Arabidopsis thaliana: one gene and its partners. The protein of the gene in region 1 purifies or fractionates together with the protein of each later gene. This does not show direct contact. Each region holds a gene or a part of one and is shown in the gene's direction. Other genes may lie near its edges. The genes, in order: PPR40, MPPalpha, MPPBETA and AT1G51980.

Region 1 (4,932 bases):
AAAATCCGACCGATTAACTAAACAAAAATCAAGAGGTAATAACAAGTAACTATAATGAAAACCTTCATTTTCATGGTGACAATGGGAGAGTCATTAGGATCAACCAAGATTCTTTTGTTGTGGAGACCAAAGAGAGGCGTTTTGACTTTGAACACTTTGTTCCCGGTTGCGTCCTTCACTGTATCTCCGGTTATCGTTAGATCTAACGGCTGTGGACGAACAAACTCAGATCCTACGAGTGGTAGCATCGTGTTGCTGCTAGTGGGATCTTGTTTTGCCATTGTTGTTTGTTTCAAAGAAGATGATTAAAAAAAAAACAAGACATTTATCAACTTTCAACTTATTGATCTTTTTGGTCATCATGACTTTTTCCTAATTTATTATGAAACTAAAAAATATTTATTAACAAAAACAATAATGACTTTACAGATAATATTTAATTTTCCTTTCAATTTGTTTTGTCAATATCAATTTTGAAATCAGTTAAAATTTATAATATACCTAATTATAAAAAAAAAATTTCCAATATTGAATTATGAAATTAAAATCTCGCATTTAACTTGAGATATTGATTGAACATAATGACAACATATCCAACAAATTACCTTTGACCATATTCACAAGTGTCACACACTTTTTTCAATTTTTAAGTTCTCATTTAGGATTATTAATTGTAAATAATTATATATTCATAAATGTAAATGATTTTTTTTGCCAAAAATAAAAAACTTTGAGAAACAAAAATGGATCATCAATTAATTGTAATAAAACAAACTGAAGACCAAAAGTTATATATAAATAGTCAATCCTTAAGATCCTAAACAATAAAAACATTTGAATACCTCAAAAGAGTTCATAGAAAAATTTATTATGGGTAGTACGAAAACTTTGGTGACATGTTTCCTTGTAATAATACTTGCAGTTTCGTTGCCTAACAACAACGTTTTGGCTTCAGGTATTTTCAAAGTTTGGTTTAGCTATTTTGCAATTTAGTAGTGATCATTTCAAAGGCTATATATCTAAATATTTGGAATTCGTTATGATCACGTTTTTGTTTATATATATATTATACATGAATTCAAAAGTTTCGTTAAAAACTTTTATTTGGACATGTTATATAACTATTTTTTATTGGAATGATATAAAATTTACACATGTTGGTATTGATGATGTTTGATATATATGTGGACTTGTGTAGATGCAAGGATCGAAGGCTTCTCTTTTGACAACTGCAATATTAGGTGTTCCGAAGATTACTGGAATGATGAATGTAATAAGGACTGTCTTAGAGCTGGCTTTCAAAAAGGTGGACAGTGTGGTTCTCCTTGTATTCCATGTCCAGTGAAATGTTGTTGTCAAAAGTAATACAAACTTATAAATCCATTTTCTCTCAAAATTGATGATTCTAGCGTTGCCTTTATTTTCTCTAAGTTATTGGACTTGATTTGTATCTTATTCTTATAAATAAATGCAATGATATAAGAAAACTATATATATTGCAATAGTAATTTTTATAACATATTATTAATCATACATAAATAGCATAATAATGACTTCATCACAACTCTTTTTATTACATCTCTCATTAGCAATAACTTAATATTATCATAATATATTTTTGAAGATGAAGATGGAAATATTTAGTCAATGCTACAATTTAAGATAGAAATTAGAAAATTATCACTTAGAAATATAATTATTACAAGAAAATTAAAATTCATAGTAATCAAGAGATGGATAAACTATAATGAAAACCCTCATTTTCATGGTGGCAATGGAAGAGTCATTAGGATCAACCAAAATTCTTTTGTTTTTGTTTGTTTCAAAGGAGATGATCTTTTTGGTCATGACTTTTTCTTAATTTATTCTGAAACTAAAAAAAAAATTATTAAATTCGAACACATATTGATATTGGTGTATTAAACAGCGTCGTTTAGGAAACATCGTCTTGAGGTTAGAGACCAAATCAATGTTTCACTTGCACTCAGCTCCGTTCTGGTCACGACATGAGAGGCTTTGCTTCTTCAGCATCTAGAATAGCGACGGCGGCAGCAGCTTCCAAATCACTAAACGCTTCCACATCCGTAAACCCTAAGCTCTCAAAAACCCTAAACTCTTCAGGTAAACCCACCAATCCTCTGAACCAGCGTTACATTTCGCAAGTCATAGAGAGAAAAGATTGGTTTTTGATACTGAATCAAGAATTCACCACTCATCGAATTGGTCTCAACACTCGATTCGTCATCAGCGTTTTGCAGAATCAAGACAACCCATTACACTCCCTGCGATTTTACCTCTGGGTCTCCAACTTCGACCCGGTTTACGCTAAGGATCAGTCTCTGAAGAGTGTTCTAGGGAACGCACTTTTTCGTAAAGGCCCCTTATTGTTGTCTATGGAATTGCTTAAAGAGATTAGAGATTCAGGGTATCGGATTAGTGATGAATTGATGTGTGTTTTGATCGGAAGCTGGGGAAGATTAGGTTTAGCTAAGTACTGTAATGATGTTTTTGCTCAGATATCTTTTCTTGGAATGAAACCAAGTACAAGGCTTTATAATGCTGTGATTGATGCGTTGGTGAAGTCTAATTCACTTGATTTGGCTTACCTCAAGTTTCAGCAGATGCGTAGTGATGGCTGTAAACCGGATCGGTTTACCTATAATATACTTATACATGGTGTTTGCAAGAAGGGTGTGGTTGATGAAGCTATTCGATTGGTTAAACAGATGGAACAGGAAGGGAATAGACCCAATGTGTTCACATACACGATTTTGATCGACGGGTTTTTGATAGCAGGGAGGGTTGATGAGGCGTTGAAGCAATTGGAGATGATGCGGGTGAGAAAGTTGAATCCTAATGAAGCTACAATCAGAACTTTCGTACACGGGATTTTCCGTTGCTTGCCGCCGTGTAAAGCGTTTGAGGTTTTGGTTGGGTTTATGGAGAAAGACTCAAACTTGCAAAGAGTTGGTTACGATGCTGTGTTGTATTGTCTTTCAAACAACTCAATGGCTAAAGAGACTGGTCAATTCTTGAGGAAGATAGGTGAGAGAGGTTATATTCCGGATAGCTCAACATTCAATGCTGCGATGAGTTGTCTCCTAAAAGGGCATGATCTTGTTGAGACTTGTAGGATATTTGACGGTTTTGTCAGCCGTGGAGTTAAGCCAGGATTCAATGGTTATCTTGTGTTAGTTCAAGCTCTGTTGAATGCTCAGAGGTTCTCTGAAGGTGACCGGTATCTGAAACAAATGGGTGTTGACGGGCTTCTATCAAGTGTATATAGTTATAATGCGGTAATTGACTGTCTCTGCAAGGCTCGACGCATAGAGAATGCAGCTATGTTCTTAACAGAGATGCAGGATAGAGGTATTTCTCCGAATCTCGTAACTTTCAATACCTTTCTGAGCGGTTATAGCGTGAGGGGTGATGTAAAGAAGGTTCACGGCGTGCTAGAGAAGCTTCTTGTACATGGTTTCAAACCAGACGTGATCACTTTCAGTTTGATCATAAACTGTCTTTGCAGAGCAAAAGAAATTAAAGATGCATTTGACTGTTTCAAGGAGATGTTGGAATGGGGTATTGAGCCAAACGAGATCACATACAATATCTTGATTCGCTCCTGTTGTTCCACCGGAGATACCGATAGATCAGTGAAGCTGTTTGCGAAGATGAAGGAAAACGGGTTAAGTCCAGACCTTTATGCGTACAATGCGACTATTCAGAGTTTTTGCAAGATGAGAAAGGTTAAGAAGGCTGAGGAATTGCTTAAAACAATGCTGAGAATTGGTTTGAAACCAGATAACTTTACATATAGCACTCTCATCAAAGCTCTAAGTGAATCTGGAAGAGAGAGTGAAGCAAGAGAGATGTTCAGTTCAATCGAAAGACATGGATGTGTTCCAGATTCATATACTAAGCGTCTTGTTGAAGAACTTGACCTAAGAAAAAGTGGACTCTCGAGAGAAACCGTGTCAGCCTCATAGAAATTGAATCCTCGAGAGTGTGAATATCCTATGAAGGCTTAGAAACCGGAAAAGTGGGTTCGTTTCATTTGGAAATGTCTGAGAAAGAACCCGATCTTTGCCACGGGTTGCCTCTTTGATGCAGACGGAAGAGAAACAGAACATGAGTGCAAAATGCAGAACAGAGTATTAAGTTTTGTTCTTTTGATTGATCAAAGCTTTTATATATTTCTGAGTCCGAGAAAGTGGCGGCAATAGTAATGGCAGTTGGTTGGTACTTGACAGTCAAAAGGCAAAAGATTTTGTATGTTTAGCACTAGATAGCCTTGGCCCTAATTTATACCCTTACCGTGTAACAGTTTAGGAAACAACAGTTTTGCCAGATTATATTGGACATGAGTATTGAATGATTTTGTTGTTTCGATCTCAAACTAGTATGCTTAACAATCTTTTTTTCAACGTAAGAGATGAGAAACGAACTAAGAATAGACCAATATTGTTCAGGAATCAGGAAGCTGAGAAAAGAAGACAAAGCAAGAGTAGTAGTAATTAAACAATGCAAGAACCAAATATTTGGGTATTGTAAATGGACTAGTTGCTTTTGCCTTTTGCCAGTTGCTTGATTTCCACTGAACTTGGTACATAAGAGCACCTAACAGGAAAACTTTCAGAATCTCCGAGATCCACTTTTCTGAAGTATCCATTCTCTCCAATGATGTAAGCTGTGATACGGTTTCTCATCTCTTTGTCCTTATCAAAAACCACAACTACTTTCTTCTCCTCGTCAATGAAGAAAATTCCATCATCAATAATGAGTGGTTTCATGTCCACTGTTAAGAACAACTTTCCCCACGACACATTGTTGGGCTCAATCTTGTTAGTAATCCATATCTCCATCCTTGATATATTGCAGCGGTGAAGTAACACTGCAAGTTTCTCTTCTCTAACACTAGAGAGAGCCACAATA
Region 2 (5,829 bases), 170 kb from region 1:
CTTCTTAACCTAAAGTTATAGTACCCATTTCTTAGAAACTGTAAACGCACAAGAGCCATGAACAGACACTACTCAAGCACTTTCATGATGATGAAACTAATCTAATCTGAGGACTATAATACTTCCACTAGGACATTACTTTAAACAATGGTATCATATTCTCATAGATTCATTATCATATAAAGAAATTCAATAATTCAAATAAAACTAGTAAAAATCAATATAACGATTTTGTGAAAGAAAGAAAAAAGGAGTACATTAAAGGGAAGGAAGAAACACCTTTGAGTGTGAGAAATGGAGATGAAGATGGAATATGAATGAGTTAATCTTGGGATTTTGTATATATACTATATAGTATATATAAAACATTTTTGAATACGAACATTAAATTCTCTTTTCATCCAATACTAACCACTTTTTTTTTCTGCCAATACTAACCACTTTTTCTTTTCTTTTTGAGAGACTTTATATTCAACCAACTCGTGCTTCACGAGGGATGGAAGCTTTGATTAGTTAGGACTTAGGAACTTGTATTAATCTAAATATCTTTTTTTTTTTAAAATTGAATCTACCTTACAACATAAAATTTGTAAAGAGAATTCCAAAATTCCAAAAAAAATCACCTAAAATTTTAAAATCGTGAAAGCAGCATCGTAAAGATGTTCTCTTCTGTTTTTTTTTTTTTTTTTTAACTCTCTTTTGAATATTGGATTAGAGATTTTCACAGTGTCGTAGATTCTTCGTAGAGTCTGTTATGAGTTGACATTTACCATAGGAATTGCATTATCGTGAGAAGGTTAAATGATAAATTGACATTTATAAATTCTCAAAATGTAGGTTATGAGTTGTCAAAGAAATGTAGGCTATGAAAAAAAAAACTTACGTCTAAAAAAATGCAAAGTTAAGAAAGAAATACTCAAAGTTCGTGGCATTTGACCATCTCTCAGCTACACCTCAAATTATAGCTCATGAGAATGGCCCATGAATATGATTGTGGCTCCGTTAATCACGTGGTATTAAAACTCACACACGACCATTTCTCATCTGCCTCCAATTATAGCGAAACCGTTACAACTCGTTGTTCACGTGAGCATCAAAATGTGCATTACTCCTTTCAAGTTCGGCAAATCCTAATTATCCATTTTAATGGACTGCAGAGACTTTAATTAGAGCTTATAGAACTTTAAACATTTTGGTTTAAATCTTAAAATAGAAATTTAACCAATCTCAAATGATTTTTTTTTCTTTTCTTTTGGCATAAGTTTCATAACTCGATGATGAATGCTACGATAATATAGACATACAGTATGATGATTAGATGAAAACAGATAAAGAAGAAAAAGTGTATCGTACGCCCCACTCGGTGATAATGATTAATGAGACTATATATGAGAGTACCCAAATATGATTTTTTCCACTCATGAATCGTATTGCACTATTTCTGCATTATTAAGATAGACCCACATTTAACATTAGACCAAAAAAAAAAAAAGATAGACCCACACCACCTGTTATAGTATTTAGTATTTTTACACATCCACTAAACGACGACAATTGACAAAATCACACAAACCTTTCTCCTTTATTCATTTTTGTTTAATTCGGGTCCCTTGCTTTTTAGCATTCGGCTCTCATTCTTATCTTCCCATGGATGGATAGTCATAGTTATATAATACAGTTCAATTGAAGTTATGCAGTATATATATGCACCACACACGAGTCTTCTATATATGTGGATACTACGTTTCAAAATAATTCTATTAACTTAGAGAAGATAAACTTTCTTAGTACTTTTTTCGTTTCACTTTACACACACCTCAAAAAAATTCTTGTTTCATTTGTGACTGCATGTAAATGTCGTTACCTTACTTGAATTTTTACACAATGGTACGTGAAAAAGAAAAGAAAAAAAATATAATTGAGAGAAAATATAATAGGATCACACCACTACAATACATGGGCTTTAAATTCATCTTTTCTATATGTTATAATTTGGGCCAAGACTATTATATCATATGGGCCTATCAATGTAATTAGAAGCAATTGCCCGATCCAATAACCTTAATTAGGAAAAAAAATCGTTCCCTTCTCTCGTTTCTTTTCAGCTCTGACTCGGCCTCTATCTCTCTCCCGTCGTCAGCCACATTCACCGGTACTCATCTGACCAAGCTAGGGTTTCGCAGTCATCATCATGTACCGTACGGCAGCTTCTCGAGCCAAGGCCCTTAAGGTCAATGTCCTACTTCACTTGTTTCCATTGAGATTCTGGTTTTTTTAGGAGAATGCTTAGTATTGAACAATTTGTATGATTCATTGTTTTTGGATTTGGATTAAAGGGTCTCTTAGATTCTTATAGATCTTGATTCAATTTTATCGCTTTATAGTAGCTGGTGCCATTATTCATGCTTTTTGCAGGTTTATGAAATGTCTCTGTTTCGAAAGTTCTTATTTTTACAATGTTAATTGAATCAAGAGATTAATGATGCTTAGGATGTGTGTGTGTGTGTGTGTGTTTATAGGGCATTCTAAACCACAATTTTCGAGCTTCTCGTTATGCAAGTTCTAGTGCTGTTGCAACGAGCTCTTCTTCCTCCAGCTGGCTAAGTGGAGGCTACTCTAGTTCACTTCCTTCTATGAACATTCCCTTGGCTGGTGTCTCTCTTCCACCACCACTCTCTGACCATGTTGAGCCTAGCAAACTTAAGACCACTACTCTTCCAAATGGTCTGACTATAGCCACTGAGATGTCTCCGGTGAGAGCTTCTTTTAGTAATCCCAACATCAACTTCCTGTTAAAAACTACTGGAAAGTGATTTTGAGTGAAATTTTGTTCAGAATCCAGCAGCTTCCATTGGTTTATACGTTGACTGTGGTTCTATTTATGAGACTCCTCAATTCCGTGGAGCGACGCACTTGCTTGAAAGGATGGCATTCAAGAGTACATTGAACAGAAGCCATTTTCGCCTTGTAAGGGAAATAGAGGCTATTGGAGGTAATACTTCAGCTTCTGCATCCCGAGAGCAGATGGGTTACACAATTGATGCTCTCAAAACCTATGTTCCCGAAATGGTTGAAGTGCTTATTGATAGTGTGAGGAACCCTGCTTTTTTGGATTGGGAAGTGAATGAAGAGGTACTTCATGTCATGTTGCATGTATCTCACAAACATTAAAGCTAAGCAATTTTTTTACACTGTTTTCATCATTTTTCTCCTGGCAGCTCCGAAAGGTGAAAGTAGAGATAGGAGAATTCGCAACGAATCCAATGGGTTTTCTTTTGGAGGCAGTTCATTCTGCTGGTTACTCTGGCGCATTGGCAAATCCATTGTATGCACCTGAATCTGCAATTACTGGATTGACTGGGGAGGTCTTGGAGAATTTTGTTTTTGTAAGACCGTTAACACAAGAGATTATTGCATTCGCTGGAACTAGTATCACTGGCTTTTGGTTTGTTATTTCGTAGATGTGTCTTTTTTCTCATTTTGTTCTGAAATTTCAGGAGAATTACACTGCTTCACGAATGGTCCTAGCAGCTAGTGGAGTTGATCATGAAGAACTTCTAAAAGTGGTTGAGCCATTACTATCTGACCTCCCTAATGTACCCCGACCTGCGGAGCCAAAGTCTCAATATGTCGGTGGAGATTTCCGTCAACATACGGGTGGAGAGGTACAAATATGACGTTTCAATGGGCTTCTTTGAGTAAAAGAAGGTTTATTATTCCTAATATCTTTCTTTTTTTGTTTCACCATTCTCAGGCTACACATTTTGCGCTTGCTTTTGAAGTGCCAGGATGGAATAACGAGAAGGAAGCTATCATTGCAACTGTTCTTCAGGTGCCTGACTCAAATACATTACTTGATCTTTCAAACGCAAAGACTTAATTGTGTAAAATCCAATTCTTATCAGATGCTTATGGGAGGAGGTGGCTCATTTTCTGCGGGAGGCCCTGGAAAAGGAATGCACTCTTGGCTCTGTAAGTCTCTGAATGTGTTCTCTTTCTACTTGCGGTTTTTCAACACTCATGTTTTAATGTAAGTTAGTTATTTGTTGGTCATGATGATGATGAGATTGGTTTCTTTATTGTCTGGATGCAGATCTTCGCCTTTTGAACCAACATCAGCAGTTTCAATCATGCACTGCATTCACTAGCGTCTTTAACAATACCGGATTGTTTGGAATCTATGGTTGCACGGTGAGTTTGCACCGATTTCTAGTTGTTGCTTATTAACGGTTTTTAGCACTTTGCAATGTGGGTTTGCTTACATTCTTTTGGCGTTGCAGAGTCCTGAATTTGCTTCACAGGGAATTGAATTAGTAGCTAGTGAAATGAACGCTGTTGCTGATGGAAAAGGTTTTCTATATATTTCATCCATTCTTTTTTAGAACCATTTATCAACTCATACAGACATATTATTTACTCTGGTGTACATGCTTTGGCAGTTAATCAGAAACATCTTGATCGCGCCAAAGCAGCAACAAAATCTGCGATTCTGATGAATCTGGAATCTCGGGTAGGTCACTTAAAAGTTCCACCTCTTTTTCTTAAGCCATGAGGGTGACTTTATAATGGAATTTAACTGTTTGTGTGATTTGCAGATGATTGCAGCAGAAGACATTGGTAGACAGATTCTTACTTACGGAGAGAGGTACATACACTTTGTAACATTCCACTTCTAAACTGATTATAACCAGACTTTTCTCTAACTGTTTTTTTTTTTGTTTTCCCAACATATCTGCAGGAAACCAGTAGACCAATTCTTGAAGACAGTAGACCAACTTACCTTAAAGGACATTGCAGATTTCACTAGCAAGGTTATCACAAAGCCTTTGACAATGGCAACTTTCGGAGACGGTAATGACAAAACCATCATCACAGTTTTACATCTTTTATAAAACGGCATTGCAAACTTAAATCCATTTTACTTATTCTAAAATCTTGTGTTGATTTTGGGACAGTGTTGAATGTTCCAAGCTATGACTCCGTAAGCAAAAGATTTCGCTGAAGAGTGAAGAAGTAAAAAAGATCTTTTTACATCATAAGATAGAGTTGGGACCTGTAGAATAAAGATAGCCTTTTTTTTGGAGATCCAACCAAATTTTTTGTTTCATCTATCTCTCAAGTTTCTGACCTAAGATAAGTCCATGAAAATGGTGACAAATTACGCCCATGTCTCCAATTTCGTTGTTGCGTATTTCTTCTCTTCGGTTAGTGAATAATGATTGATACGTTTACCAACTTTTTTCAGCTTCAATTTTTAAATTTCTTTCTTGTTAAAGAATGCTGGCAAACATAGGCATTAAAGATAGATAGAAGTCTACTACTACATAAAATATTTTCCAAATTATTAATTTTATGAACTCTTAAATGCTTTAATATTTTGTTAATAAAAGGATTATTGAATAAATGGATCTAAATAATAGAAACGACTCCATCAGACAAATAATTGCCTTAAAAGTATCTTAAACTCTCAACCAGATATAAGATAGATCCACAATAAATTACTACTAGAATTAGATCAATTTACCATAGTTATTTCGAAATGTGAAAGCATAATTTACATACACACTCCTAAAGTCTAAAATGAAGGTGTTATTTTTTTTTTGACAGCCTATGATGAAGGTGTTTAATCACAGAAAACCTTAATTAAAAAGGCTATTAGGGAATCTTTTTGGCGGATTACGAGGTAAATTAGAGCTTATCAAAAGCAGTTGATGTGTATTTTAATTATTTCTACTTTCAGAAGAACGAATATGATGACGTAAACACGTATCGGCATGAACCAATCATATTCCCTGGTGGTTTTTAAAAATGATTAGATATAGAAACATT
Region 3 (5,565 bases), 5.4 Mb from region 1:
GGTTAAAAGTGAAGCATAAAAGTGAGATTAGTGGCACTAAAGAAGGATGAAATTAGCAATTTAGGGATGAAGAAACCATATCCTATTATCCTTAAATCGGACGAACACAAAAATACGGTTGAAGACATAAGTTTCAATGTCCAAAGCCATCGCCAAAAAGATAAATTTTTGAACATTATGAGCGCAAGTCTTGAGAATGAAATGGTAACAATTCTTAAAAGTAAAGATAAACACTAAAAGCACAATGGCCTCAAAAGTAGAAGAAGAACAAAAAAGAACATTAAGATCTTCAAGGTTCAACTGCAATACGGCCAGCAACCTGGTCCAAATCCCTTTGGCCACTGGAAGTGATCCTTCTTCCTCTGAAAGAAGAACAAAAGTGATACTAGTATTAGCATAAAAACATTTTTAAAGAGAAACACCTCTAACGTAGTAGTAGTAGTAGTAGTAGTAGTAGTAATGTTACCCTTTGGTGTCGAGCTCAACAATGTTCATTGTCTCCAGCTGTTGGAGGATGTGACGGGCAATACCACCACTGCTTTTGCAAAAGTGAGGTGGGCGACTACCGTTCCTCTTGCTTCCACCATAGATTCTACGGAAAGCACCAACACCAAGTCCTCCCCTCAGGTAAACCTTCCTTGCCATAGATGCTGCACAAGAAGTCATTTTGCTAATTGAAAACTTTATAAACGCATAGAGATAATAAGAGACAAACTAGGATGAAAGAGAACTAACCAGCTCTGATGTAGTACCAATCAGGATCATATGGTGCAAGCTCCTTCAACTTTCCGGTCTTCACAATGTCTGTCCATGTGGGAAGCTCGATCTGAAACAAACAATTATGGTCTCGTGAAAACCAAAACAATTGTAAAAAGTGGAGCTTGACATTCAAGCTATTGTAATTGCTAGTGTAAATTAATTCAACAGACGTAACAAAGCAAATCACAATATTAATCCCAAGCATTTGAATCTTAAGCTGTCTATTAACAAATACTAAGAGTAACACTTGTGATTCAATAAATATTAGCAACATATACAAAATTTCAATACATTCAACAGACATTACACAATTCAAAGTATTATAGAGAAATGCCAACAATCAACAGAAATATCTATGAACTAATGGAAATCATTGCAATTTGAGCTTAATCCATCTTTATTCGAGTACATACAAATAAAGCTTGGAACATTTCTACTCAAACAAAAAAGAAGAGACTTTATCCACTAACCTTGCCAGATCGCTTGAGATGAGAAGCATAAGCCTTGACGAAGTCATGAGGCGAGACGTCTTTCACAGTTTTACCAGTTGCCATGGCTCAAGTTATCAAAAGACTAATCACTGATCTTCGTCTGGGATTTTGCCCAACGCAGCTGAATCTCTCTCCGCAAAGACTAGGGTTTTTATTCTCCAATAACAAAACTTATATATACGGCCACGATATTTCGATTAGGGTTTTCTCCCCATATCCGGGTCAAAAAATCCAACCCGTTCTCAGCCCACACTAATGGGCCTAATTCTTCATACGGCCTTACTATCTAACCAGTATGAATAATGTTCTTTGATACGATAATGCGCCTACTACGGCCTTATTATATCAGTTGACTAGTATTATGTCCTAAACGACACCGTTCTTAATTAGTAACATTAAATGACGTCGTTTTATAATCGCTTAACCACTGGCTATTAGTTCGCATCTCAAGTCGTCTCTGCCATTTTTGGCTTTTTAATCAAACCCTAGAGAGATTGAGAGAGCGAAGAGAAGCCATCATCAGCCATGGCGATGAAGAATCTACTGTCCCTAGCTCGCCGATCTCAGAGGCGTTTATTCCTCACTCAAGCCACACGATCTTCCTCTTCGTTTTCAGCTATCGATTCGGTGCCGGCTTCCGCATCTCCGACGGCTCTATCTCCACCGCCGCCGCATCTTATGCCATACGACCACGCGGCTGAGATTATAAAAAATAAGATCAAGAAGCTCGAGAATCCTGATAAGAGGTTCCTTAAATACGCATCTCCACATCCGATCCTCGCTTCCCACAATCACATCTTGTCAGCTCCGGAGACTCGTGTCACTACCTTGCCCAATGGTCTACGAGTCGCTACTGAGTCAAATCTCTCGGCTAAGACCGCCACCGTTGGAGTCTGGATCGACGCTGGATCTCGGTTTGAGTCCGATGAGACCAACGGAACGGCTCATTTTTTGGAGCATATGATATTCAAAGGCACGGATAGGCGTACAGTGAGAGCGTTGGAGGAAGAGATCGAAGATATTGGTGGTCACCTGAACGCGTATACATCGAGGGAACAGACCACTTATTATGCTAAGGTTTTGGATTCCAATGTGAACCAGGCTTTGGATGTCTTGGCTGATATCCTACAGAATTCTAAGTTCGAGGAACAGAGAATTAACCGCGAACGAGATGTCATCCTCAGGGAAATGCAAGAGGTATGTATTTGTTATCTCTGTACTTAAAAAACTAAACTTTTTGTTCTGTCCTCGATTTATCTTTCGTTTTTTTTTAGTGAGGTGGTACTATGGACCGTAGTTTGTGTTTTTTTAGATCAATACCCTTAGTTTCAGTTTCCCGTGTGCCTGCCTAAAAATGAAAACTTTAGTATGTTCTTAAGTTATCTTCCCTTTTTTTAAGGTTGTATTGGCATAAGCACATGTTCTATAGAGAGATGTTATTGTGTTTATATAAACCATTGCTCTAAAAATGAAAACTTTGTTCTGTTTTTGGATTATCTCTCGCATGTTTTGGTTTTATTGGCTTAGTCATATGTTGGTCGTATTGTTGTTGGGAAATGTGCATGAAGGGAGATACTAGAGCGCTTGGTACTCTGCTCTACGTGTTGGTTAGAGTTATTTGTTTCTTTAATCAGTTAAAGATAGAATACACATTAAGCTTTAGTTTTTTGATAATTGGTTTGGTCGTAGGTGGAGGGACAAACCGATGAAGTGGTTCTTGACCATTTACATGCCACTGCATTCCAATACACACCCCTTGGAAGAACTATTTTGGGACCTGCTCAGAACGTCAAATCGATCACCAGAGAGGATCTACAGAACTACATTAAGACTCACTACACTGCTTCCAGGATGGTATAGATTTTGGTTACTTCTTATCATTTCCTACAATCACTTATTGAATTTTTTAGGATTCTTATCTTGGTTCATCCAAAACATTTTCAGGTGATTGCTGCTGCAGGAGCTGTTAAGCATGAGGAAGTTGTTGAGCAAGTGAAGAAGCTATTTACCAAGTTGTCGTCTGATCCAACAACTACTTCTCAACTGGTTGCCAATGAACCTGCTAGTTTTACTGGTTCTGAGGTAAGGACACAACCATATGATTTTGTTATATGCAATGTTCCATCTTTCTAAATTCTTTAGTCCGTGAAATTCTTCTCAGGTCCGAATGATTGATGACGACCTACCCCTTGCACAATTTGCTGTTGCCTTTGAGGGAGCATCTTGGACTGATCCAGATTCCGTTGCTCTTATGGTTATGCAAACTATGTTGGGTTCGTGGAACAAAAATGTTGGTGGTGGAAAACACGTGGGGTGAGTTTACTCTCTGGCTAATATTTCTAATGATGGATTTAATGAAAAGCTATTTCGCAATGTGTTGATGAACATTATGGTTCTATGTGCAGTTCTGACCTGACCCAGAGGGTTGCCATTAATGAAATAGCAGAAAGCATAATGGCATTCAACACTAACTACAAGGATACTGGACTGTTCGGCGTTTATGCAGTTGCCAAGGTCAACCCAGAACTCCATAGCTATCTTAGTTTCATCTCTTTCTTGTATTTGTCAATATTAGCAGTTTCATCTCATGAATGCCTCGTATTATATCTCTTTTAACATCTTGTAAGGTACTTTTTTCAGGCCGATTGCTTGGATGATTTATCATATGCCATTATGTATGAGGTAACCAAGCTGGCCTACCGAGTTTCAGACGCTGATGTGACACGTGCACGAAATCAGGTAAACGCCCAACTGTTCTTTCTCTCTTTCCCAAGATTCAGCTTTAAGCTAGTTACAAATGTGATCTGTTTAAAGTTTTTTTTTTCTTTTCCTCCTGTTTCTTCGAACTCCTTACTTATTTGTAGATAGATTTTAAATGCCAACTGATTTTAAATTTCTCTGCAGCTGAAATCATCATTGTTACTTCACATGGATGGAACCAGCCCAATTGCTGAAGATATTGGTCGTCAGGTATGCGATGAATCATTTAAGCATCTTAATTTAGAACTTATAAGTTTATAAATGCATTGGTCAAAGATAACAAACCTTGACTTTCCTTATAGTTGGTGTTTATCTTCAAAATCATTCTAATAAAACGCCTGGATTTTTGTTCTAAATGCAGCTGCTGACCTATGGGCGTAGAATCCCAACCGCTGAACTCTTTGCTAGGATCGATGCTGTTGATGCCAGCACGGTAAAACGTGTTGCCAACAAATATATCTATGACAAAGTAAGTTCTATTTCTCTCTCCCTCTTGCTCTCTCTATCCTCCAAGGATTAGACTGCTAAACAAGAGTACAAACGTCAAGAGTGATTAAGGTGATTTTTGGGATTATGTGCAGGACATTGCAATCTCAGCTATTGGTCCAATCCAAGATTTGCCAGACTACAACAAATTCAGACGCAGAACCTACTGGAACCGGTACTAAGGCTCTGAAATAAAGGTCACTGAATCGCAAGGTTCGCCCACGGGGAGATTCCGTAGGCGGAGAGAGCAGAACGAGGTGATGATGGATTCATTATTTTTGAGTTTTTCTTACTGTATCTTCATAATTTACCATCATCGCTGGTAAAATAAGTGTACCATTTACTCTTTGTCCTCTACTGGAAAAATGCTAGAGATCCTCTGTGTGTGTTTTTTTTGTTCTCTTCATAATTTTCCCATACACATACTAATAAGTTCTTTGATGTTTGGTTGAAAACTTGAATTGGATACATTTCATTTCTTCTTGTGAAACTCTATCAATTCACTTGTGATTTGATCCAGTTGACAAATTTATTAAGATTCTCACAAGATATTCCATCTTTTGCAACACTTTTCATCACAATCTCTTTAACCTTCATAGCTCGTTCTTCATACTCTCCACCGTCTCTCATGATCTCATCGATCTTCTTCTTAACCTCTAACCTCGGAACCACTCCTCGTGCGTCTCTTTCAAGTCCTAATCCAATCTTCCACACATCGCATATATATGCTTTGTTGATAAATTGGTCTGCAAAATAAGGGATGCATAGAAATGGTATGCCATTTTGGGCTCCTTCCAGAGTTGAATTCCATCCACAATGGCTCACAAAACACCCAATGGCTCCAGAAGAAAGGACCTCCCGTTGTGGAGCCCATCTCACCACTTTGACTCGATCCGACCCAAGTTTGATTGGTTGTTGATCACCAGTGACCCACAAAACTGGCCTGGTGAATGGATCAACATAACTTATTACATAATAGACACGCATAGAGTAAGTAGGGTAAACCGGAACACACAAACCCGGTTATGTCCAAATCATTACCTCTTGGTAAGCTCTAGACCAATTGCTA
Region 4 (6,168 bases), on another chromosome or scaffold:
TTGAAATATTTATATTCAATTTCATACATATTATATTGAAAATTTATAATCTTATATACTACAATAATTAAAAACATATTAGATTTTCTTATATGTATGATGTGATTCAATTTTTAATACAAGCTGGAAAATCTTAGAATTGACGGGTTTAGATCGATATTAATACAAGATGGTATACTACAGGTGAAACTCTTAAATTAGCAATCAAACTACAAGTGTATAATCTTAAACACTAAACAATATACATAATATTAACAAAACATATACAACTCACAGTTTAATATACATTTAAAATCAAATAAAATAATATCATATATTTTTAAATCATCTTTACAATAAAAGTTTTTAGTTTAACTAAAATATAAGTCTACCTGCGGTATACAGCAGGTTAATATCTAGATTATAGGGCTTATTGGATCTAAAGATGGGTCATCAAATATTTCCTAAACTGAAGCAAAATATATTGAATATTCAAATATCTATCTGTTACCAAATTATAAACAAATAAGTTCGTAAAATAATTTAATATTTTATATACGAAATTAATTAAATCTTAATCACATAAAAATTAGCAAAACAAAAAGTATTCAACAATTAAAAAATTATCAAATCTCTGTGTTATATAAGTTTTGATACTATATTCGAATAAAATGTAATATACTTTTTCAATTTGTATTCTTTAACAAATTTAAGCTAACTAATATATTTGCTTTTTTGGTGGATTTGGGTAAAAGTGCATTCAGGTCATATGATACATTTTCCTATTGAATAAATATGGTGCACTCCTATGTTATTAGTTAAAATGTTTAGATTATAATTCAGAGTCATATCATTAATAAAATTAATATTAATAAAATAAATTGCTTTTTGGAAGACGGATTTGAAGGGACGGGTTTTTGAATCAACATTAATAAAAAAGTAAAATATAACTAATCCACCGTTTCAATACGGGTTAAATCTTTAATTTATTATTTTTTAAAACTACTAATATTAAACATATCAAATCATCCTAATTTAGAAAAGATTATATAAAACCAAAAATGTTATGTGGTATGTATAATATTACTATATATAAAATTAAACTATAAAATATAAATGTATTAGAGAATGATACAATTTGCAAAGCTTTTATATATAAAAAATAATTCTTAAATTTTAAAAATTACTACTTTAAAAAAAAAATCATGGGACGGGTAAGAAATTACATAACGGATTTTATTTTAGAATTGGGTTATATGGTGGATGTATTTGAATCAATATTTATAAAATATTAAAATATTATTAATATGATGTTTTAATAGGGGTTAAAACTTCAGTTTTTTAACAATTGTCTCATGGATTCGTGGTATAACGTTACCTAATAACAATTTTAAACTGTAAAATATTAATATTTTATAAAATTAAAATTTGCAAGTTTTAATATATTACTTTAAAAAAAAATCGTCTCGCGGTATACCGCGGTTTAAAATCTAGTAACAAAATATTTGAAGTACACACTAAACCAACTCAGTAATCTAATTAAGTAAATACAGAATGGACATATTTTTTGATAATTTTCAATTATTATTAAAATTCTTCAGTAAACAGATTTTTAATGAAAAAGATGATTAGATGATGTTTTGACGGTTGAAATTGGCTATAGGTTATATAGTTTAGATTTGTTCAGATTGATAAATAGTCTAAAAACCACTTTGAATAAATATTAGGATTGGGCCAAGCCCATAACACAATATTGGGTCAGATTTTAGTACATATTATGGGCCTATGTTAGCAAGATATCACCGAGTACGTAGCAACTTAGATTCTAAAGTCTAAACTAAACAAAATCGTAAATAAACTGAGAAAAAGCCTCCGTCTCCTCCTCTCTCTCTATTCATCAGCCTCAACCTCTCTTTCGTCGTCGACTCAGTTTCCGATTTAGGGTTACCCAATCTTCGCCATGTATCGCACGGCAGCTTCACGAGCCAGGGCTCTTAAGGTACATCCTTATTCCTTTTTACAATTTTACCCTTTTATCCTGTTCCTGGAAGATTCTGGAACGATTTGGTCCGATTCAGTGAATTAACAGATCTGGATTCAAATTCTTTCGTTTGTAGTTACTTCTATAGGTTACAATGATCTCTTCTCTGATTGGTTAAAGTCAATCCATTGGTTTAGATTATAACTCATCTGATTTTCGATTTAAGAGAAATGATTTCGATTATGATTCTTCTTATTGTCCTTTGATTGATACCATAGAAAAGATTGGTTTCTTATTATGTGATGTATTGTGATTGTGTGTTATATAGGGAGTTCTTACTCGTAGTTTGAGACCAGCGCGTTATGCTAGTTCTAGTGCTGTTGCGGAGACGAGTTCGTCAACGCCGGCTTACTTGAGCTGGTTGAGTGGTGGGTCTCGTGCTGCGCTTACTTCATTGGATATGCCTCTACAAGGTGTTTCTCTTCCTCCGCCGCTTGCTGATAAAGTCGAGCCGAGCAAACTTCAGATCACTACTCTTCCAAATGGTCTTAAGATAGCCTCAGAGACGACTCCGGTAAATAAAAGAACGAATTTTAATGTCTGATTTCACTCCTGAAAATGTGAACTGAAGAAAGTTAATGTTGTGTGCAGAATCCGGCAGCTTCGATTGGTTTATATGTTGATTGCGGTTCTATTTATGAGGCGCCTTATTTCCATGGAGCTACACATTTGCTTGAAAGAATGGCTTTCAAGAGCACGTTGAACAGAACTCATTTTCGTCTTGTGAGGGAAATTGAGGCTATTGGAGGCAACACATCCGCTTCTGCGTCTCGAGAGCAAATGAGTTACACTATTGATGCTCTTAAGACCTATGTCCCTGAAATGGTTGAAGTTCTTATTGACAGTGTTAGAAACCCTGCTTTCTTGGACTGGGAAGTGAATGAAGAGGTAGATCATTTTTTTTTTCCTTTTGTATTATTCTGATAACTGTGTTGAAACTTTTATGTGACTTTTAGCCATGTGTCGATGATCTTTTCCGCAGCTACGGAAGATGAAGGTAGAGATAGCGGAACTTGCAAAGAACCCTATGGGTTTCCTCTTGGAGGCCATTCATTCTGCTGGTTACTCTGGTCCATTGGCAAGTCCTCTGTACGCACCGGAGTCTGCTTTAGATAGATTGAATGGGGAGCTCTTGGAAGAGTTTATGACTGTAAGAATGCATGAGCTTTTGTGAACCATCTACGTCTCAGCGATTTCAAAATTACAATCCTATTTATTTGTCTTTTTGACTCAATTTATCTGGGAATTTCAGGAGAATTTCACTGCTGCACGGATGGTATTGGCGGCAAGTGGAGTAGAACATGAGGAACTTTTAAAAGTTGCTGAGCCATTAACTTCTGACCTTCCTAATGTACCACCCCAATTGGCTCCAAAATCTCAGTATGTCGGTGGAGATTTTCGCCAACATACTGGTGGAGAGGTAGGTATTCATGACAGATTTCCCATCACTGGACAAGTGTGTCTGAGATGAAGGTGTTTCTATGTCACATTTCTTATTGAGCTTTTGTTGTTCCATTTTCAGGCTACACACTTTGCGGTTGCTTTCGAGGTGCCTGGCTGGAATAACGAGAAAGAAGCAGTCACCGCCACTGTTCTCCAGGTGTCTAATTGAATTTTACTTTTTGGTTGCTTTAACTTTCACTTGTTTCGATCAAATTTTTTTTACTGGCGAAAAAGTAATAAAATGTAATCTAATTGCTATTAGATGCTTATGGGAGGAGGTGGCTCATTCTCTGCGGGAGGTCCTGGAAAAGGAATGCACTCGTGGCTTTGTAAGTCAAATCTTGTATTTCTTTTTGGCCTATTCTAGTTTTGTTTATTGAACTAGTTCACGGACCATACTCTCGCACTGCTAAGCTATCAGTAATAGTGATACAAGTTCTTATGTCTGGTTACAGATCGCCGTGTTCTAAACGAATATCAGGAGGTTCAGTCATGCACTGCATTCACTAGCATCTTTAACGACACCGGGTTGTTTGGAATCTATGGTTGCTCGGTAAGTTCAACAATCCTGATGTCGCTTTCTATGTTTTTCCTTTCATTACTTATCCACATTTTTCTATTGATGAGATGTGTAACAACGGAATACCAATTTTTGTGGTTAAGCTTAAGAAATATTGACTTTGAGGTTAAAGTGATGTCCAAGTTTTTTTAGCTGAAAAATTCATTGCCGGATATGTGTTTCGGTAATATGTGTTAGCTGATAGGGGATTTGTGTCTTTGAGTGCAGAGTCCTCAATTCGCTGCAAAAGCAATTGAATTAGCAGCTAAAGAACTCAAAGATGTTGCAGGAGGAAAAGGTTTGCAGTTTTGTTTCTTCCATTATCACTTAATCTAACAAGTTGAAACCATTCTCATACATCTATGAAACATTTTCCTTGTGTTCTTATGTTGGACAGTTAACCAGGCACATCTTGATCGTGCCAAGGCAGCCACAAAATCTGCAGTTCTGATGAATTTGGAATCTCGGGTATATTTTTAACTCTCGCACCCTCTACTTACATAAAAATACTTAAATGTTGCCAATTTGTTTAACTTGATCCAAACCATTATATGTTATGAATGTGTTCAAACGGTTTTCCTGTGCCAGATGATTGCAGCAGAAGACATTGGTAGACAGATACTTACATACGGAGAGAGGTATGTATACGCAGAACTTCATTTGAAAACCCGAAGAAGTTCACTAGATCTCCATAGTTTTCTTCAATTCCAGACACATCATAATTTGTGGTTTTTACAAAATCTTGCAGGAAACCAGTTGATCAATTCTTGAAGTCAGTAGACCAACTAACCTTGAAAGACATTGCAGACTTCACCAGCAAGGTTATTTCAAAGCCTTTGACAATGGGTTCCTTTGGAGATGGTAAACAACTTTCACTTTTTTCTTATCAATCTTTTACAAACCAAGATCTAGTGTCTTAATATTGTTTATCGTGTTTTTGTTTTTGGCAGTGTTGGCTGTTCCGAGCTATGACACAATAAGCAGCAAATTTCGTTGAAGCAAAACAAACAATTTGCCAAATCAACAATATTTTGGGACTTGTAAAATAAAGAAGATCTTGGGGAGAAGAAGACCCAACCAATTTTAATTTTAATTTTTTTTTTTACAATTACAGTTTCGTATTTTTATGAAATGGATTTTGTTTCCATCGACAGATATAAATGACTGGATTTTGTCCGGTTTGTCTCTCCAATTTTCAGGAGTATTTGTATTCCAATAAATAATCTTTTACTACGTGTAATGCAAACAACTTCAGTGGTACAATTAGAACTGTGTCAGTTTTTATGCAAGTGTTCTCAATTTTGCATATATGTTACCGGAGAATGTTGAGTAGACGTAAGGAACGGGGTTACTTTGCGGAGATAGTGAAATCAGATAGCTGCTTGGAGAAAGTGAAGTCTCGGCTTCTTAATGCAGTGCGGTTTTAGCGATAAAGCAGAATGAATTAAACTTGGATTTGGAGAATGGAAAGAGTTTCCAGGGAGGAGAAGGTAAGAAAAGACTAAGCGTGTCTTGCGGGGATTGATCAGGAGGAGGCAAAGGAAGGCAAAATGGGACGAGGAGGAACAGTAAGAAGCGAGAGTTCCGGGATTCCAAGTTTGTTCATGGTGGTAGGAGAGGGATGAGCAAGCATAGCACTGTAAAGAGTTCGATCATCTACAACTTCAACACTTTACAGTTATAAACTTTCGTTTATGTTTTTAGAAAGTGTTATTTTTTTGGGATAATTGTAAACTTCGAACGATGGATAATTTAAAAATGAATAGAAATTGTAATGTAAAAAAACACACGAAATCAGTGCTTTTTGTCTTAATTAAAAAGACCAGCTTGCAAAGTCACGCAACGTCGAAGCTCTAACTTTCTCTTCTAAAAGTGGCTTACTTTGGTCGCAAAGACACAAATTTTAAGGAAGAAAAAAAAACAAAACAAAAGCCAGATAATTTACTTGGGAGAAATAGGTTCGATAATTCGATTTTTTCGATGAATTAGAGTAACCTTGGGAGCAAAATGCGACCACGCTTCGTCATCTTCTACACAATTCCAAGAGAAACGAGTAGAAATCGTCAGTTTGGGATATTTTGTGGTTTTATGATTTATAGGAACGGGTTGAATCCTTAAACTGTTGAATCCTTGATATTTGTTTGAA

Evidence for each region.
Region 2: the proteins of PPR40 (region 1) and MPPalpha fractionate together in Arabidopsis thaliana (co-fractionation; one study listed by BioGRID). This does not show direct contact.
Region 3: the proteins of PPR40 (region 1) and MPPBETA fractionate together in Arabidopsis thaliana (co-fractionation; one study listed by BioGRID). This does not show direct contact.
Region 4: the proteins of PPR40 (region 1) and AT1G51980 fractionate together in Arabidopsis thaliana (co-fractionation; one study listed by BioGRID). This does not show direct contact.

The regions. Positions count from the first base shown.
Region 1 is NC_003074.8:5,767,455-5,772,386, reverse strand, and holds PPR40 (pentatricopeptide (PPR) domain protein 40), read left to right. Parts: upstream 1-1,950; 5' UTR 1,951-2,006; coding exon 2,007-3,986; 3' UTR 3,987-4,410; downstream 4,411-4,932. Other genes in the region: AT3G16900 (LURP-one-like protein (DUF567)), read right to left, coding at 63-281; AT3G16895 (Cysteine-rich protein), read left to right, coding at 871-955, 1,199-1,365; AT3G16880 (F-box and associated interaction domains-containing protein), read right to left, coding at 4,557-4,932. UniProt on the Arabidopsis thaliana protein: Required for the ubiquinol-cytochrome c oxidoreductase activity of mitochondrial complex III.
Region 2 is NC_003074.8:5,597,715-5,603,543, forward strand, and holds MPPalpha (mitochondrial processing peptidase alpha subunit), read left to right. Parts: upstream 1-1,995; 5' UTR 1,996-2,191; coding exon 2,192-2,230; intron 2,231-2,519; coding exon 2,520-2,753; intron 2,754-2,835; coding exon 2,836-3,132; intron 3,133-3,218; coding exon 3,219-3,386; intron 3,387-3,497; coding exon 3,498-3,665; intron 3,666-3,754; coding exon 3,755-3,832; intron 3,833-3,905; coding exon 3,906-3,972; intron 3,973-4,093; coding exon 4,094-4,191; intron 4,192-4,280; coding exon 4,281-4,350; intron 4,351-4,439; coding exon 4,440-4,510; intron 4,511-4,595; coding exon 4,596-4,645; intron 4,646-4,738; coding exon 4,739-4,851; intron 4,852-4,955; coding exon 4,956-5,002; 3' UTR 5,003-5,313; downstream 5,314-5,829.
Region 3 is NC_003074.8:363,849-369,413, forward strand, and holds MPPBETA (Insulinase (Peptidase family M16) protein), read left to right. Parts: upstream 1-1,700; 5' UTR 1,701-1,775; coding exon 1,776-2,447; intron 2,448-2,939; coding exon 2,940-3,104; intron 3,105-3,194; coding exon 3,195-3,332; intron 3,333-3,411; coding exon 3,412-3,563; intron 3,564-3,655; coding exon 3,656-3,764; intron 3,765-3,890; coding exon 3,891-3,989; intron 3,990-4,154; coding exon 4,155-4,220; intron 4,221-4,371; coding exon 4,372-4,483; intron 4,484-4,591; coding exon 4,592-4,686; 3' UTR 4,687-4,991; downstream 4,992-5,565. Other genes in the region: AT3G02080 (Ribosomal protein S19e family protein), read right to left, coding at 290-362, 467-650, 736-826, 1,230-1,313; AT3G02100 (UDP-Glycosyltransferase superfamily protein), read right to left, coding at 4,992-5,439, 5,538-5,565. UniProt on the Arabidopsis thaliana protein: Catalytic subunit of the essential mitochondrial processing protease (MPP), which cleaves the mitochondrial sequence off newly imported precursors proteins. Preferentially, cleaves after an arginine at position P2.
Region 4 is NC_003070.9:19,322,543-19,328,710, reverse strand, and holds AT1G51980 (Insulinase (Peptidase family M16) protein), read left to right. Parts: upstream 1-1,792; 5' UTR 1,793-1,939; coding exon 1,940-1,978; intron 1,979-2,288; coding exon 2,289-2,534; intron 2,535-2,611; coding exon 2,612-2,908; intron 2,909-3,002; coding exon 3,003-3,170; intron 3,171-3,272; coding exon 3,273-3,440; intron 3,441-3,542; coding exon 3,543-3,620; intron 3,621-3,725; coding exon 3,726-3,792; intron 3,793-3,918; coding exon 3,919-4,016; intron 4,017-4,250; coding exon 4,251-4,320; intron 4,321-4,419; coding exon 4,420-4,490; intron 4,491-4,610; coding exon 4,611-4,660; intron 4,661-4,770; coding exon 4,771-4,883; intron 4,884-4,972; coding exon 4,973-5,019; 3' UTR 5,020-5,656; downstream 5,657-6,168. UniProt on the Arabidopsis thaliana protein: Substrate recognition and binding subunit of the essential mitochondrial processing protease (MPP), which cleaves the mitochondrial sequence off newly imported precursors proteins.